Linked DNA regions of Diceros bicornis minor. The protein of the gene in region 1 interacts with the protein of each later gene in a pairwise test. Links are inferred from orthologs where the notes say so. Each region holds a gene or a part of one and is shown on either strand. Other genes may lie near its edges.

Region 1 (7,634 bases):
TGGCATTCTAGATGAAAAATTAAAGAAGCAAGTTAACACGTTAACCCTGAATCTGTAGTTGATGTACAAAGTAAAGACTGTGGGTCAGCAAGAAAAGGTTAAAATACATTCATTAATATTAATAAGAAAGAAGAAGTGCATTTCAGAAAGATTACAATGGTTGAAGTTTTATTGCTTAAAGGAGTAAATCTCAGTTATCTGGAAAATTAACTTTTGTGGAATACCTCTTTGCTTCTTAAAGGAAATGCTAATGCATTATATTGAGGTTATTATTGCAACAGAATTTTCTAAAATTTGTGAAGGTACTCCAGTCTGTTTCTGGAATCTATTCCAGGTATAGCATGTACTCACATGATTTTAGAATCCAGAGAAATATGGAGCAAAGGAGCAAACAGTTGGTTAGCTGGGACATTGGGTACAACAAAGAGATTAGCAAAGAAGAAAAGCTATGCAAATAAAATGCTTATAGATGACTAGTCTCATATTTCTTTGTTATTCGTATAAGTGCATCTCATGATGTATATAATCAGAGTCCTAGTTATTTAATCTTCTCCTTTCCTGTCCAATGCTTCTTTCAGGACCATGGTTTGTTGGTGAAATCATTAAGGGCAAATTGGGTTGCTGCTTTTCCTTTGGGATCTTTGTTGATGGACATTTCCTACAAGGCAGCATAACATTTATAGTTGGAGTTCTTCAGGTAAGAAGTCAGAAATGCAATTTAAGAACATCTTGGCCTTGTTGGACTAATTGCGTAACAGTTACAAATTAAATCCAAAATCCCAAATTAAACACCATAGATCATGTTTCCTAATTTACTGGCAGGGCAATCTTTAATATCTGGTGTTTTGTTTGCTTTTAGAGTGCTTCCTAAGCTCTTTCTTCCACTACTGTCTTGTAAATATCTAAAATACATTTTTGGCAAGCAGAGTTTATAAGAGGTGAAAGAGGTTTTTGTTTTTGTTGTTTGTTTCACTGTGCTTTTGCATTGACAAAAACTGAAATAAAGGACTTATGGTAGAATAAATGATAGACTTCTGAGTAAACCAAAATTGATTATGATAATGAAGAAGGAAAATGTTTCAGAGGGAGGAAAGGAAAAACAGACGCACAAGAAAAGCGGGTCAGTTACCCACTGGAAGCTACACTGGGCAAAAACCAGACTTGGCTTTCTAGTGATGTCTTAGCAGTACACTTGTTTGGGAAACACTCATACATTAGATTTACACTTGGATTAAGATTCCTTTAGGGGCTGGCCCCGTGGCATAGTGGTTGAGTTCGGTGCGTTCCACTTTGGTGGCCCAGGTTCTCTGGTTCGGATCCCGGCACGGACCTACACCACTCATCAGCCATGCTGTGGCAGCAACCCACATATAAAGTAGAGGAAGACTGGCACAGATGTTAGTTCATGGCTAATCTTCCTCAAGAAAAAAACTGAGGAGGATTGGCAACAGATGTTAGCTTAGGGCTAATCTTCCTCAGCAAAAAAAAAAAAAAAAAAAAACCCCACAAAGATTCCAACACAAAAAACTCTGACCTGTAGCAAATCTCTATAAATAGGTCTGAAAACTATTTACCTAACAATTTATTTTACTCACCTAATGGGGCTAATGGACCAAAATCTGAAGTGATGATCTGATGTTTTGGAAGAGATCCAAAAACATTGTTCAGAATGAGTTCACAGCCTTGTAATAGGATAGTGAAACATGATCAGCAGGATTAGGGAAGACCTCTGCCCAGCAAACACTGACTACAAGCCAGAACATTCTCTGTACAGCAGCTGTACAACATTCTCTGTACACATTGTATATGTGAGTAGGTCCCGGGTCCAGTTCAGTTTTCCATTATGTAGATGGAGGCTGGCCCTCCATCTGTGTGTGGAGCACTCTTATACCAAGTAAAACCTGATCCTTACCGAAAGGTGGGTATATATTTATATTTTAATAAAAGTACACTAATAACGGATTTTATGTGTCATGTAGGCCCATGACTCCCAAATCTACATCTCTGACCTAGACCTCTTCTTGGCACTTCAAGTGCTTATATATCCAACTGCCATTTCACATCTTCCCTTAGATATCTAAAAGCCATCTCAACTTAATATTACATCTCTAATAAGACCTTTAATTTCTACCCCCAAACCTGTGTTCCTCCCCAAATTCTTTCCAATTTCAATAAATGGCTCCACCATTCACTTAGTTTCTCCAGGATGTATCCTCAATTCTTCCCCTTACCTCATACCCTGTATCTAGTTCATCAGCAAGTAGTACCTTGTTTGAGCTACCTCCAATACATATCTTGAATCCACCCTTCTCTCCATCTCTGTTACGCCATCCTAGTCTAAGTCATAATTATTTCTTGCCTGGGCTACTGCACTAACCCCCTAACTGGTCTTCCCACTGCTGCTCTTGCCTCTCTACTATCAGTTCACCACAGAGCATCCACTGTGGTCCTTTTAAAACCTTAATCAGCTCACTTCTCAGCTTAAAACCCTTTAACCAGAGCAGTGACATGATCTGGGTCCTGCTGACTGCCCCCCTTTCCACCTGGCTCATCTTGTGCCAGGCCTATTGGCCTTAAATAGGCCAAGACTGCTTTTCATTGTTTCTTCTGCCTGAAATGTCCTTCCTTTCACTGACTCATTCCTGTCCTTCAGGCTTCAGAGATGGAAGGCTTCAGTCCTTCCATCTCCCAATTACCCTCTCATAACTCAGTTATTTCTTTTATTGAATTTATCACAATCTGTAATTATCTTTTTTTTTTGGTTTCTCTTCTCCCTGTTAGAATGTAACCTCTATGATGCATCTTTTCGGACTTGTTCACCAGTATGTTCCTAGTCTAGAGCTAGCACAGTGCCTGACACATAATGAGTGCTCAATAATTATCTGGTGAATGAATGAATGAATGAATCATACAGCAGCTAACCTTATTATAACTTAAATCTTTTAATTTGTATTCTAGTATTCATCAGGCTACTTCAAATAAAAATACAGATAAAAAAATATTGACACCCAAGTTCCTCCCTCACTGTGCCAAAAAAAAAACCCCAAGTATATATATTGACCTGCACATATTCAATTCATTTCTACCTTAAACATTATTGAGGGCTTCAACATAAATGAAATGATACCTGCCTTTAAGATGAACAGAAGGATACAGGCAAATATACAGCTAACTACAAGTCAACTGTTGTGTTATATGCAAATGTGATTGAAGCTTAAAGAATCAGAGAGTTAACCCCCAAGAGAGAAAGCAACATATTCTTAGGAGCCACCAATAATGTGTTAGTGAGACCCCACCCCTCCAGGGGCTTGCTATTAAGCAAATGGTTTGTTCTGCTTCTCTTTCCAGCTGGTGTTTTTTAACATCCCCTTGATGGCTTACCTGTGTTGGAGCTTGCTGCAGCGGTGCTTTGGTCACAACTTCAGGTCTCATCTCCGTCAAGGAAGATACTTGAAAGTCATACTTGTTCACCTGCTAATGGTACTGCTGTACATCTGGCAGATTTATTCCTGCTATGTTCTTCATATGACGTATGGCACTTTAGCTTTTTTATTCTCCCCACTGCGGACCTGGTTGACACTGCTGACACCTGTTTTCATTCGTTGTGTGTGGACACTGAACTCTACTGAGCTTGGAACCTTCATAGTGCAGTTAAAAAGCCACCTGAGCTCCTGAAGGCCATCTCACCACCCGCCTGTCAGTAGCCCAGGCCTCTGCCCCAGCAACAGGTGAAAGGCCAGTATTGGTGGGCTGCTGCTGCTTGGATGGTTGGGAGTTGGGGGGATTACCCACTACTGATTTCTGCAGCATGGACTGCAGAAAAGTGTCTAAATGATGTTGATTCCTTCCTTCCCCAAGAAGGCAAAGGGTTGATTTACATTTGTGAAGAGAAAGCCCTAATCTAGGAGATCCACACGGCAGGGACTGGGTGTATGGGAGTATCTGAGGCCGAGTGTGTTTTTTAAGATTACCTCATGTAAAGTATCTAGCACAGTGTCTGGAACTCAGCAGCCATTACGGGTGCCACTTTAGGGGCGGAGAACCACTGCGAACTTGGGCCCGACCCTGACTACGCTTGAGATATTAGCTCCCAGTCCTCTTTTCCCGCAGGGTTATGGGTTCTCTGCTCCCTTAGTCGGGGGTGTTTTCAACTAATCAAATAAATGAATAACGAATAAGAAGTAACTCAGAGAGGTCCTTGCTTGTGTGGCCCGGCCTCTAGGGCGGAAGGAGGGGTGGCCCGGCCTCTGGGGACGGGGAGGGGGAGTCGTGGCCTGGCCTTTGGGGCGGGAGAAGGCGTGGCCGGGCCTCTGGGGCGCAAGGAGGCGTGGCCGGGCCTCTGAGGGCGGGGGGGGAGGCGTGGCCGGGCCTCTGAGGACGAGGGGAGGCGTGGCCGGGCCTCTGGGGCGGAAGGAGGAGTGGCTCGGCCTCGGGATGGCAGGAGGCGTGGGTGGGCCTCTGGGGCGGAAGAAGGCCTCGCCGGGCCTCTGGGGACCGGAGGGGGTGTGGCCGGGCCTTTGGGGCGGGGCGGGGCGGCGGGGAGGCGGGTTGTTGCCGGAAGCGAATCCCGGTCTGTGACGCCCGGAAGTGGAGCGGCTACCGCAGTGGGACACGGGCAGCTGCCTTGGCTGCTTTTGTCTGCAGGCTCTAGGAGGTCTACTGAGATGGCGGGCGCAGCTGCGCCTGCAGCCGCATTCTCTACCCTGGCTCCGCCTTTGGAGCAGCTCCGGCACTTAGCAAGGGAGCTGCGGTTGCTCCTGCCTGGAGTGCGGGGTGAGCTGACGCAGTTGGGACAGGCGACGGCAGGGGCGCGCTTGGGGTGGGGGAGAGGCCAGGCTGTGGCGGCGGCGGAGGCGGGGGCCCGCGCGGAGGAGGTGGGGGCAGGAGGTGGCTCCGCTTACCCGGCCATTTTTTTTGCCATTACCCGGCCCACACGCCTCGCCCACCAGTCGGTGAAGCCCAGGAGACCACCAAGGAGTTTAATCGGGAGACGTTTTGGAGAAGACTCAGTGAGTGCCTCTCCTGTTCCCATCTGTCATGTCCTCCAGCGTCCCGACCCCTTTCCCTCTCGCTTTCCCCCCGCCGCATCCTCTCTGTGGGGATACCTCACCTTACCGGTACATCCTCGGCATTTCAGGGGTTGATATAAAACATTGATTTTTGGAGGTGTTTTTGAGACTTCTCAGCCGGCAGGGGTGGAGAAGGGAGCGCGTTATCTTCCAAGTCCGTGCAGCAGCTGCAGCATCATCCTTTTAGCGCTAACATATTGACTCCTGTTTCCTCGTCTGTCACCCCTAGATGAGGCCGCTGTGAAAGTGTCAAGGGAAGCCACGACTCTGACCGAAGCCTTTTCTCGACTTCCGTTGCCGTCTCCACAGGTGGGCTTTACCTTCCTGGAATCAATGTGCTGCCGCCTTATTCCTTAGGAATGCTCTCATTTTCTTTCCACCTTTTGCACTTAAGCCAGGGAATTTATTTTTCTCACCTGTCAAATAAGATTTCAGGATTGTTGCGAAGACCAAATTGCCAAGTGCAGTACCTGGCATGGAGTGGGAAAGTCTTCTAAATATTGGTTCAATTTGAAGTTCATCCTGGTCATCTCCTTCCTGATAATTTTTTTAAGCACTTGCTATTTGCTAGGTGTTTTCACATGCATGATCCCCATCTGACAGATGAGTAAGCAGGCTCAGAGGCTCAAGTTAAGGTAAAAAAGCAGTGGAGATGGGATTTAAATTAGAGTCTATCTGATGTCTAGGCTATGCCTTTTCTGTTATGCTACATAATACCCTTTTTGTGTTGTATTATTTCTTATATTTAATCAGTAACATATGTATACAGTGTGAAATTCAAAAGATATCAAAGTTGTGTGCTAAAAAGTTTATATCTCCCCTCCCCAGTTACTTTTGTATTATTCCATATATATTCTATGCTTCTTTTTACACAAATGAAAGGATGCCATAAACACTTTTCTGGACCTTCCTTTCTTAAAAAAATTATCAATCATAGCACATATAAATTGATTCTTAGCAGCACATATAAAGTTGCTCAGGTCTTTCTAATGGCTGCATGGTATTCAATAGAGTGGATATAACCATAATTTATTTAGACAATACTCTAAGTAGACATTTAAGCTGTTGCCAACTTGTAACTATTATAAACAGTGCTGTGGTGAATTACAGTCTTTTTTGTGTGTGTATCTGTAAAAAAAATTCTCAGAAGTGGAATTGCTAGAACAAAGAATGTATGCATTTTTAATAACTGTAACTATAATAACTTTATTATAAAACTAATGAAAGTAAACATGTTGGCTGTGACTAGTTTTTCTAGAGCTAGATGTACTTAATTTGGGAGTAGGGTTATTTTAGAATGACATATTCGTTGCCATATTTGGTTTCCATAGTCAGTAGTTTCCTTCTTTTTCTCAATCTATATATTCAGATGTTTTGAAATGAAAAAAAACTTTTTTGCTGCATCTACAGTGATAAACTCTCTCCCCCTGCATACCTCAGAGATCTGTGATGAGGAAACAAGAGATGAATTGTATGAGAGCACTTTAAAAGCTTTGTGAAAGTCAATATTTATTTCAAAAGGAGTAGTAGTATTACCTTCAATCTGCTGACTCCTTTCTTTCAAATACACTTAGGACTTGCTGCTAAAATTTATAGCTAGTAAGATACCGTGAGGTGGCAGCATAGAACTGTTTTTCTGTACATGCTCAGGACAGTGGTTTCACTCATGGATGAAAAATTAGAATTTGGTTTTATTTGAATTATATATATTTGAATCACAATTGCTTTCTTAGAATCTCAGCATGTTAGTCCTACTGAAGAATGGTTTTGTTTTTTTTTTAATTCCAGTCCATATGGACTGGTATTTTTATAAAATTATGTTTGGATGTTGAAGCAGTGTCAAATTGCCACAAAAGTTTCTGAACGCTCTCATTCACCGTACTTATCCATCCTAGACTGTGATGAACCGTTTATGGACTAGCACCAATCTGTGGACCAATTTTGCATAGCACTGGCTTAGAGTTTAGTAGAGAAGCGAAGACAAGGAAGATAAGAGAAAGCCAGTGACTGCTTAGAAGGAAAATAGTCAGCATTGAGCATTGTAGAGTCCATGCTAATTACCTTTAGGTATACTGTCATGACTAGCTTAATGACGGATACATTCTGAGAAATGCATCCTTAGGCGATTTTGTTGTTGTGCAAACATCATAGGGTGTACTTACACAAACCTAGATGGTATAGCCTACTACACACCTAGGCTTTACAGTACTAATCTTATGGGACCACTGTGGTCCGTCATTGTTGGAAACATTATTATGCAGCATATGACTGTACTGTGATTCTGTTAAGAGAGAGACAGATGGCGAGACAGAGAGATCAGACACCTGGTTAGTGGTCTAAGGTAGGGTTGGCAAACTTCTTCTGTAAAGGGCCAGATAGTAAATATTTTAGGCTTTGCAGGCCAACTGCTTAGCTCTGCCCTTGTGGTGCGAACACAACTACAGACGGTCCCCGACTTACGATGGTTCAACTTAACGATTTTTTGACTTTATGATGGTGCTGTGTGAAAGCAATACTCATTCAATAGAAAGCAGTATGCATTCAGTAGAAACTGTACTTCGTATT
Region 2 (7,662 bases), on another chromosome or scaffold:
CATCCATGCCCATCTTCCTCTATTTAATATATGGGATAGATATAATAATATGTATATAATTACTTTTTGATAATGGTTGTGTTTAACAACCAGCTCACAAAATTCCTGAAAATTTAAGGACAGGCTCTTGGGAGCTTCTCAGTATTTCTCAGTTACCCTTAGAGTCTGAATCCCACAACCTTGGGATGCAGACAACAGCAGCCTCCCCACTTCCATAACCGTTCTCCTAACTCCTGAGGCTGCTTTTCAGCTCCTTCCTGGCCTCTCTCTGCCATGTTGTCTCTGAATTGTCTAGGATGGGGATCCCAGGTGCTGTCACAGGGGTCTGCACGGGATCCCCTGGGCCCAGGCGTCTTGCCTCTTCCTGTTGGTGCCCCGGCAGCTTTCCCAAGTGAATGAAAGCAAACGTGGGCTACTTTTCTGGTCTTCTCTGGATCCCTGAGTGGAGGCCTGGCTCCGGGCTCTCTCACCAGCTCACCTGCAGCTGTCTTGGAGAGAGACTACAGAGCCTGTGAAACCCACATAGGCCTCCCCTGGCCCAGGCATCCCCCAGCACAGGCGGTAAGCTCTCCAGTTTGGGATCAGCCTCCGCACTGTGGCCACCTCCTAGGCAGAGAAAGAGAGGGCCCTGAGGTCCACGGTCCTCCATGGGTGAAGCGTGGCCAGGTCTCAGACATCTAAAGTCCAGGCTGAGAGAGTTGACTGGCCACAGGCACCTCGAGACCACTCTCTGGAGGGGGAAGCGACGGTGACTCAGGATACAGCCCGGGCTGCACTGGGCGCAGCAGTACCAGATGCTGGGGGAGCAGCAGCCCCAGCCTGCCACCAGCTCACCTGGATTGTGGCCTGTGGTCCCCTGTCTGGGAGACACCAACTTGGGCCCCTTGGGGCCGCATCCCTTGGCTCCCACCGCCTTTCCCTGGGCCCTGCCCTGTGGTCCCCCTTGCAGGCCAATCTGGGGAGTATCCACCCAGTTCCTCCTGGCCCTACCCAGGGAGCAAATCCGGAGGTTGAAGTTCCATCTCCTGCCCGGAGCCCCAACTTCACAAGCTTGTTTATCATTTGGGTTTTTCAGCCTTGTCTCTGCAGTGTGCTTCCCTCCCTGTCCTCCTCTGGGACACTGACCTCCACCATGCAAAGGTTGTACTCCAGGCCACTGCTGCCTGCTTCCAGACCCGGAGCGCAACAATCCCAGGACTCGTCCAGGCCACGCTTTGAGTTTCTGATCTATTTCTGAAACACAGAGGTTCTTATCTTATTTTTGAGTTCAGCCACGTCTCCTCTCTCTGTCTTTCTGTGCCTGTTTCTCTGTCTCTCTCCCCCAGGCATTCAGAAATACTCTAGTGGGGGCACCATCCTGGATCAGCTTCCTGAGGATTGAAGATGCTCAGGGAGGCCCTGCGGTTAACACGGAGGCTGACGTCAGGGAGTAGGGGACCCTGACAGGCAGCAAGACAGTGAGGCAGCCCGGGGTTATGTGCAGGGATGGCCGTGGGCTCCCCTGGACCAAACAAAGGGGCAGCCACTAAGGTGCCGATTGGCATGGCAATGGGCTGAGAAAATGCAGGTCTGGGGCCGGCCCCTTGCCCAATTCCTAGCCCTGTGTAGCTTCATGGATCTGGGTCCCTGGAGAGAAGAGAAGACTGGGCACCCAGAAAGAATGTGGCAGCAGCCCCACAACGAGGCTTGGCCTTCCCCAGCCTGGCCTCCCTAGATAGACACTGGTCAGGATGGTCTGCTTTTCTGGCCCAGCGCCCTCAGCACCACCTTGGTGGCCTCACAGGATCCCTGAGCCTCAGTTGGGGTTTCCCTTGAGGACAGAAGAACTCACAATGAGTGAAGTGAGGCAGTAAGCTGACCCTGCGAGCACCCCACCTTCCCAGAAGCAGCAGCCAGTGTGCAGCCGTGTGGAACAGCGGGATGGCCTTTGGGAGGCTGGGTCCCACCACCCCAGCTGTAGTCACACCCTGAGGTTTGGCAGAGAATAAAGGGCTCGTCCATGAGGCCGTTTGTCCTCAGCAAGTGCACAGGCCCAGGGCCATCCCTGACGCTGTGGCTCTTCTGACGTAGAGGCTACGTATTCAGGGAGGGCTGCTTCCATCGGGCTCTACAGTGGAGCTGACCCCCCAGGTCATCCCGCAGCCTCCCCTGGCTTTGAGGCAGCCTTGCCTACTCCATCTTCAAATCGTTCTCTTCTCTCAGTTTCCGCTGGTGATGCCAACCCATCCCGGGGCCAAGGTGGACCAGTGGTCCCTGGGGGGCTGCGCCCTCCTCTAATCCCTCCTCCAGCCCCACTTCTGCACATCCTCAGGGAAGCATCAATGGGGCGTGGGGCGGGACTTTCCTCGGGGTGGGGGCGTGCAGGAGAGGGGGCTGGGTGCCTGTTGGGGTGTCCTCAGACACACCAGGTTCCAGGACTTTCCAGGAGGACATACTGCTGTCCTCCCATTTAGGGGTGTGTGTGCAGTCTGATAAAGATGACCTAGGCCTCGAGTTTGACTGGGAAGTCATAGGAGAGAGGGCCCGAGGAACAACTGAAATGGCATGGTGAGGGGGGTGCAATCAGGAAAGTGCCGTCTGGGGCCCTGCAGGGGACAGTGGCTAGGCTTCTTCAGCACCTACATGGCAGGGGGAAAAAAGGGACAAGCAAACCAATCATAACATATGGACCTTACTGGGATCTTGATTTGAACAAACTGTGTGCAGTCGGATATATGAAATCATATCCATATGTACACACACACACACATATGAAATTTGCACACGGACTCCATATTTGATATGAAGGAATTATAATTAATTTTTATATTTTTATTTTTGAAAAACATACAATAAAATTGCCTTTTTTAGCGTACAGTTCTATGAATTTTAATGCATGTATAGATTTGTGTGATCCCCCCCACAATCAGGATACAGAGCAGTCCCATCACCCCTCAAAGGCTTGCTCCTGCTGCTCCTCTGTAGGGACAGGCTGCTCCCCCAACCTCTGGAAAGCACTGATCAGTTCCCCTTGGCTGATATTTTGTTGTTTTGACAACATCGCCTAAGTGGAATCATATACTATGTAACCTTTTGAGACTGGCTTCTTCCTCTGACATGACATCTGTAGGGTTCACCCAAGATGTCACATGTATCAGTAGTTCCCTCTTTTTGACTGCTCAGCAGTATTTCAGCATATGGATGGACCACAGTTTATCCACTCACCCGCTAAAAGGCCTCTGGGGTGTTTCCACTTGGGGCTATGTGAATAGGTATGCTGTAGACATTTATGTACAGGTTTTTTGTGTGAAGATAAGTTTTCATTTCTCTAGAATAAATACCTAGGAGTGGGAATGCTGGGACACATGTTAGGTGTAGAGTGGACTTTTTTTTTCCTGAGGAATATTGGCCTTGAGCTAACATCCATTGACAATCTTCCTCTTTTTGCTTGAGGATGATTGGCCCTGAGCTAATATCTGTGCCAATCTTCCTCTATTTTGTATGTGGGTTGCCACCACAGCATGGCTGATGAGTGGTCAAGTCCATGCCTAGAATCTGAACCTGCAAACCTGGGCCACCAAAGAGGAGCGTGCTGAACTTAACCACTACGCCACGGGGCCGGCCCCCTCATTTTAACCATTTTTAAATGTACAATTCAGTGGCATTAAATACATTCACATTGTTGTGCCACCATCACCACCATCCATCTCCATAACTCTTTTCATCTTGTAAAACTGAAACTCTGTCCCCATTAAACACTAACTCCCCAATCCCTCTCCTCCAGCCCCCGGCACCCACCACTCTACTTTCCCTCTCTACGACTTTGACGACTCTAGGGACCTCATACAAGTGGAATCATACAATATTTGTCCTTCCGTGTCTGGCTTATTTCACTGAGCATAATGTCCTCCAGGTTCATCCACGTTGTAGTCTGTGTCAGAATTTCCTTCCTTCTTCGGGGAAGAATAATATTCCACTGCACGTATGGACCACATTTTCTTTCTGCATTCGACCCTCGACTGACATTTGGCTTGCTGCAGGGGCAGCTCCCAGGGACAGGACGGTGGCAGCGGGGACAAGACGGTGGGCCGATGCCCGCCAAGATGGAAGGGAGGAGGAAATGCAGGCCAGGGGAGTGGGGATGGAGAAGGACATGAAGGGACTGGAAGGGAGTACAGAGCGGGGACAGCAGGAGAGGGACGGTGGGGAGGGGAGATGAGGCGGGGACGGCAGGCCGCCGGAGAAAGCGGCAATAGCGGACCAAGGCGGAAGACGGAGAGCAGAGAAGGAGGAGCGGAGGACGGCCTCTACCCAACCGCTGCCCGGCTCCGCCCCCTGCCCTGCCTGGCCCCTCCCCTGCCCTGCCCCACCCCGCGGCCTGCCGGGAGACGTAGTCCGCAGTCGCTCAGGAAGCCCGACTCGGAGTCCCAGCGAGCCCCGCGGCGCGCGTGCGCGCCGCGGCACCGCCCGCCCCGTGGCCTGCCGGGATTTGTAGTCCAGCGCCGGCGGGCACCCGGGCGCGGGGCGGGCGGGGGGACTCGGTGTCCCAGAGAGCCCCGCGCTGGGCCACGACGCCGCGCGCCGCCCTCGCCGTCGCCGCCGCCGGGCTTTCTCCGCCGCCGCTGCCGCTGCCGCTGCTTCGCGGGTTGGAGGGCCCAGGCGTACCCCGGCGAGCGGAGGCTGCTGGTGGGAGCCTTCGCGGGCACTGCAGAGCGGGCCGGGGGAGGCCGGGATGGAGCCCCCCGGAGGTGGGCGCGCTGCCGGACGGGCCCGCGCCTGGGGCGGTTGCGGAGGGGTCCGAGCGGTGGGGGGAATGGGGCGGGGTAGGGCTCTGGGGGCGGGGCTTGGCGGGGGGGGTGGGCGCTGGGGGGGGTCGGCGCTGGGGGCGCGGCTTGGCTTGGGGGAGGGTGCTGGAGGTGGAGTGAGAGCAATGGGGGCGGGGGAAAGGCTCGGGGTGGGGCTTGGCGGGGGAGTGGGTGCTGGAGGCGGGGTCCGGCGGTGGGGGGGGTGTCACGGGGGGGTGGGGCTTGGCGCTGGGGCGGGGCTTACTGGGGAGGGCGCTAGGGGCGGGGCTTGGCTGGGGGGAGGGCGCCGGGGGCGGGACCTGGCGGGAGGAGGGCGCTGGGGGCCTGGCTCAGCGGTGGGGGATGGCCTAGGGGAGGGGCGAGGGCGCTGGGGGCGGACGGGGTGGGGGGGGGTGAGGAAGCCGGCCTGGAGGAAGGTTGGAGGCTGGGGGCAGGGGTGGGAGGGGCTTCCAGGGGGTGCCCCGGGTTGGTGAGCCCTTCGGGGGTTGGGCCGGCAGGGCTGGGCGGGCGGCCTTTGGGGGTCTTGTTGGGAGGGGGCGAACAGGGCACCCAGGGGCCTGCTCTCCTTCTAGTTGACTGAAGCGAGCAAGCCGGGTTCCAGAGCCTCAAGACGGGATCTTGGGGCCTCCTGGGGTTGCAGCGGATGGTCTGAGGGCAGCGCAGACATGGCTCACCTCAGGGGATTCGCCAACCAGGTGAGGGTTGGTTTCTGCCTTGTAAGCGTGTGTTCGTGCTTGAGCCCCCCAAGGGGAGTGCAGACTGCAGAGTCCAAGAGAGGTGTGGATCACGAGAGACGTCTTATTTCACCCAGAAGTATCTTTTGAAAATCATCCTGGGGGTTTGGGAGAGCGGTCTATTAAGGGGATGTGGGCTGAAGGGAGGAGTGTTCTTGGGGAACCCTGTGATGCCCGTCATGGGCAAAGTGGGGACCATTCCTGAGGTGCTCAGGCTTGGTGGGGAGCAGGGCTGACTCAGGGTGGCCCATGGGGTGTGCTGTGGGGCAGAAGCCCACAGGCCTTTGAGACTAGAGCCACAGTGCAAGATCCAGGAGGGTGTGCAGAGACCTATCTTGGGCGCAGGGCTGGGTGGCTTGGGTGGGAATCCTGCAGGAACCTGGATCTGCGCATCTGGAGGGACGTCAAAGAGCAGGGTCCACGCTGGAGACCCCCACCTGACGGACAATCCAGAGGGGCTGGGATTGTCGTTAAGTGGCTGTGGTGTAAGAGTCGGCATGTAGGGAAAGCAGAGGACGCGAGTGCGAGTGTTTCCACTGGGGGAGGTGGAGAAGGCTGCTCTGCAGAACCTGTGTAAGCCAGGCGAGAAGTGCTTCCCTGGAAGAGGCCAACCGTCTCTCTTCTTTGGGCGATTAGTTCTCGTAGTTCCCAACACCGAGCCGCCTGGAGGTGTCTGGCCTTGCATGTTCACTGGCTGACTCCCTGGGAGCCCTCCACAGAGTTTGCCTGGAACGAGGACCTGCTGCTGGTGCCTGGTGCTGGGAAAGGAGGGTCGGTGGCAGCCGGCGGGGGTGTGGTAGTCTGCGTCTCTCCGCCTTTTTGTTTTTTCAAAGCCAGTGTGACCTGAAGCTGACTGCGCTAGAATACACCACTGCGGTGGCCAGGTGTTCCTGCATCCTGGCTGTTTGGTTTTGTTCGGTTTGGGCACGATTTGGGCTGACTGCTGCCAGGTGTGGGAATCTCCCCTTAAAGGGAGTGTAGCCCTCTGGCTTGCTCCTGTGTGCTGAATCAGTGAGGACTGGGCATGCGAGGAACAGGAAGCGTGTGTGTCCTCTTGGGGGCCAGAGGGGCTGGAGTCAGAGCTCAGCTCCAGACCCAGCCGGGCTCTGTGGAGAAACCTGGAACGCCACGCGCAGCTGTTGGGCATGGCATCCGGGACCAGCTGTGGCCACAGATGGGAGCGAGGGCTTGCTGACTGACGCTGAATTAAGCTAACAGATTTTTCATTCATTTTTGACATTTTGTGTCTGGTAAATTACATGACTAAGATGCTGTGCAAAAACTTTGTCTCCAGCTTATTTTTAAGAGCTGTAGGAATAGCTCCCCTGGGACCCAGTATGAGGAACTGGAGCCTTGAGCTGCCTCTGTCCCCTGTGTGCCACTGGTGCGTGGCGCTTAGCCTGGGCGTCTGGATGAGACCTGGGAGGGAGTGCGGGTGTGGAGGAGCTGGGGAAGGGACCCTAAAGGAAGGAAGCCCCCTTTGTCCTTTCAGGGGCGGAGAGACTCAGCCTTTGTCGGTGGCAGGAAGCTTGACAGGATGTCGTTTTCTCTTGAGGGTTGTCACTGTGGCCCTGTGGGGCAGCAGGACGTGCTCCCCCGTGGCCTGTGCTCCTGCCCTAGATGGCTGTCCTACACCTAGCTAGTTCCTGCCCCGCCTACAGGGCCTGAGTGGCTGCGGGGTCCCCCGTGTCGTGCTCGCTTGGCTGCAGCCCGTTTTGTGGTGGCTGGGGATGGCTTGGCTCCCTTCATTTTGTGGGGTGACACTAACGCCAGACACAATCCCAGGTGGTGGCCCTGGACCTGGCAGCCCCAGGGCTGATTTGACGCCATTGACAATAGCATCATTTGAACTGATGCCAGAGCCAGTCCAGGGGCCTGAGTGATTGTCTAGACCATGTGCGTCATCTAGAAGGGCAGCCTGAGGCCCCCAGACTTGGAAGCTACTTGCATTTCCTTCACCTGGTGGGGCTGGGAGCGGGTTGTCCCTGTGATGTGCTTGGAGGGTCAGGATCACAGCTAGGAGTGTTCCTGTCATGCTGTCTGCTCAGGTGACTGACCTGCAGTGGTGTGAACCCAAAGAGTGTGAAAGTTGGGGGTTGGGGCTCCCCGCTTCCCTGCCGAGCCTGGAACTCTGGCTTGGGGTC

Evidence for each region.
Region 2: the proteins of CCNDBP1 (region 1) and STK25 interact in binary tests that used the Homo sapiens proteins (3 or more experiments, as listed by UniProt). The two-hybrid records come from large-scale screens. The link is inferred for Diceros bicornis minor from reciprocal best matches to the Homo sapiens genes CCNDBP1 and STK25.

The regions. Positions count from the first base shown.
Region 1 is NC_080744.1:40,641,539-40,649,172, forward strand, and holds the start of CCNDBP1 (cyclin-D1-binding protein 1), read left to right. Parts: upstream 1-4,568; 5' UTR 4,569-4,664; coding exon 4,665-4,773; intron 4,774-4,949; coding exon 4,950-5,009; intron 5,010-5,298; coding exon 5,299-5,378; intron 5,379-7,634. Other genes in the region: TMEM62 (transmembrane protein 62), read left to right, coding at 579-697, 3,349-3,675. UniProt on the Homo sapiens protein: May negatively regulate cell cycle progression. May act at least in part via inhibition of the cyclin-D1/CDK4 complex, thereby preventing phosphorylation of RB1 and blocking E2F-dependent transcription.
Region 2 is NC_080776.1:28,317,240-28,324,901, reverse strand, and holds the start of STK25 (serine/threonine-protein kinase 25), read left to right. Parts: upstream 1-4,579; 5' UTR 4,580-4,665; exon of another isoform or gene 4,666-4,727; intron 4,728-5,356; 5' UTR 5,357-5,449; coding exon 5,450-5,479; intron 5,480-7,662. UniProt on the Homo sapiens protein: Oxidant stress-activated serine/threonine kinase that may play a role in the response to environmental stress.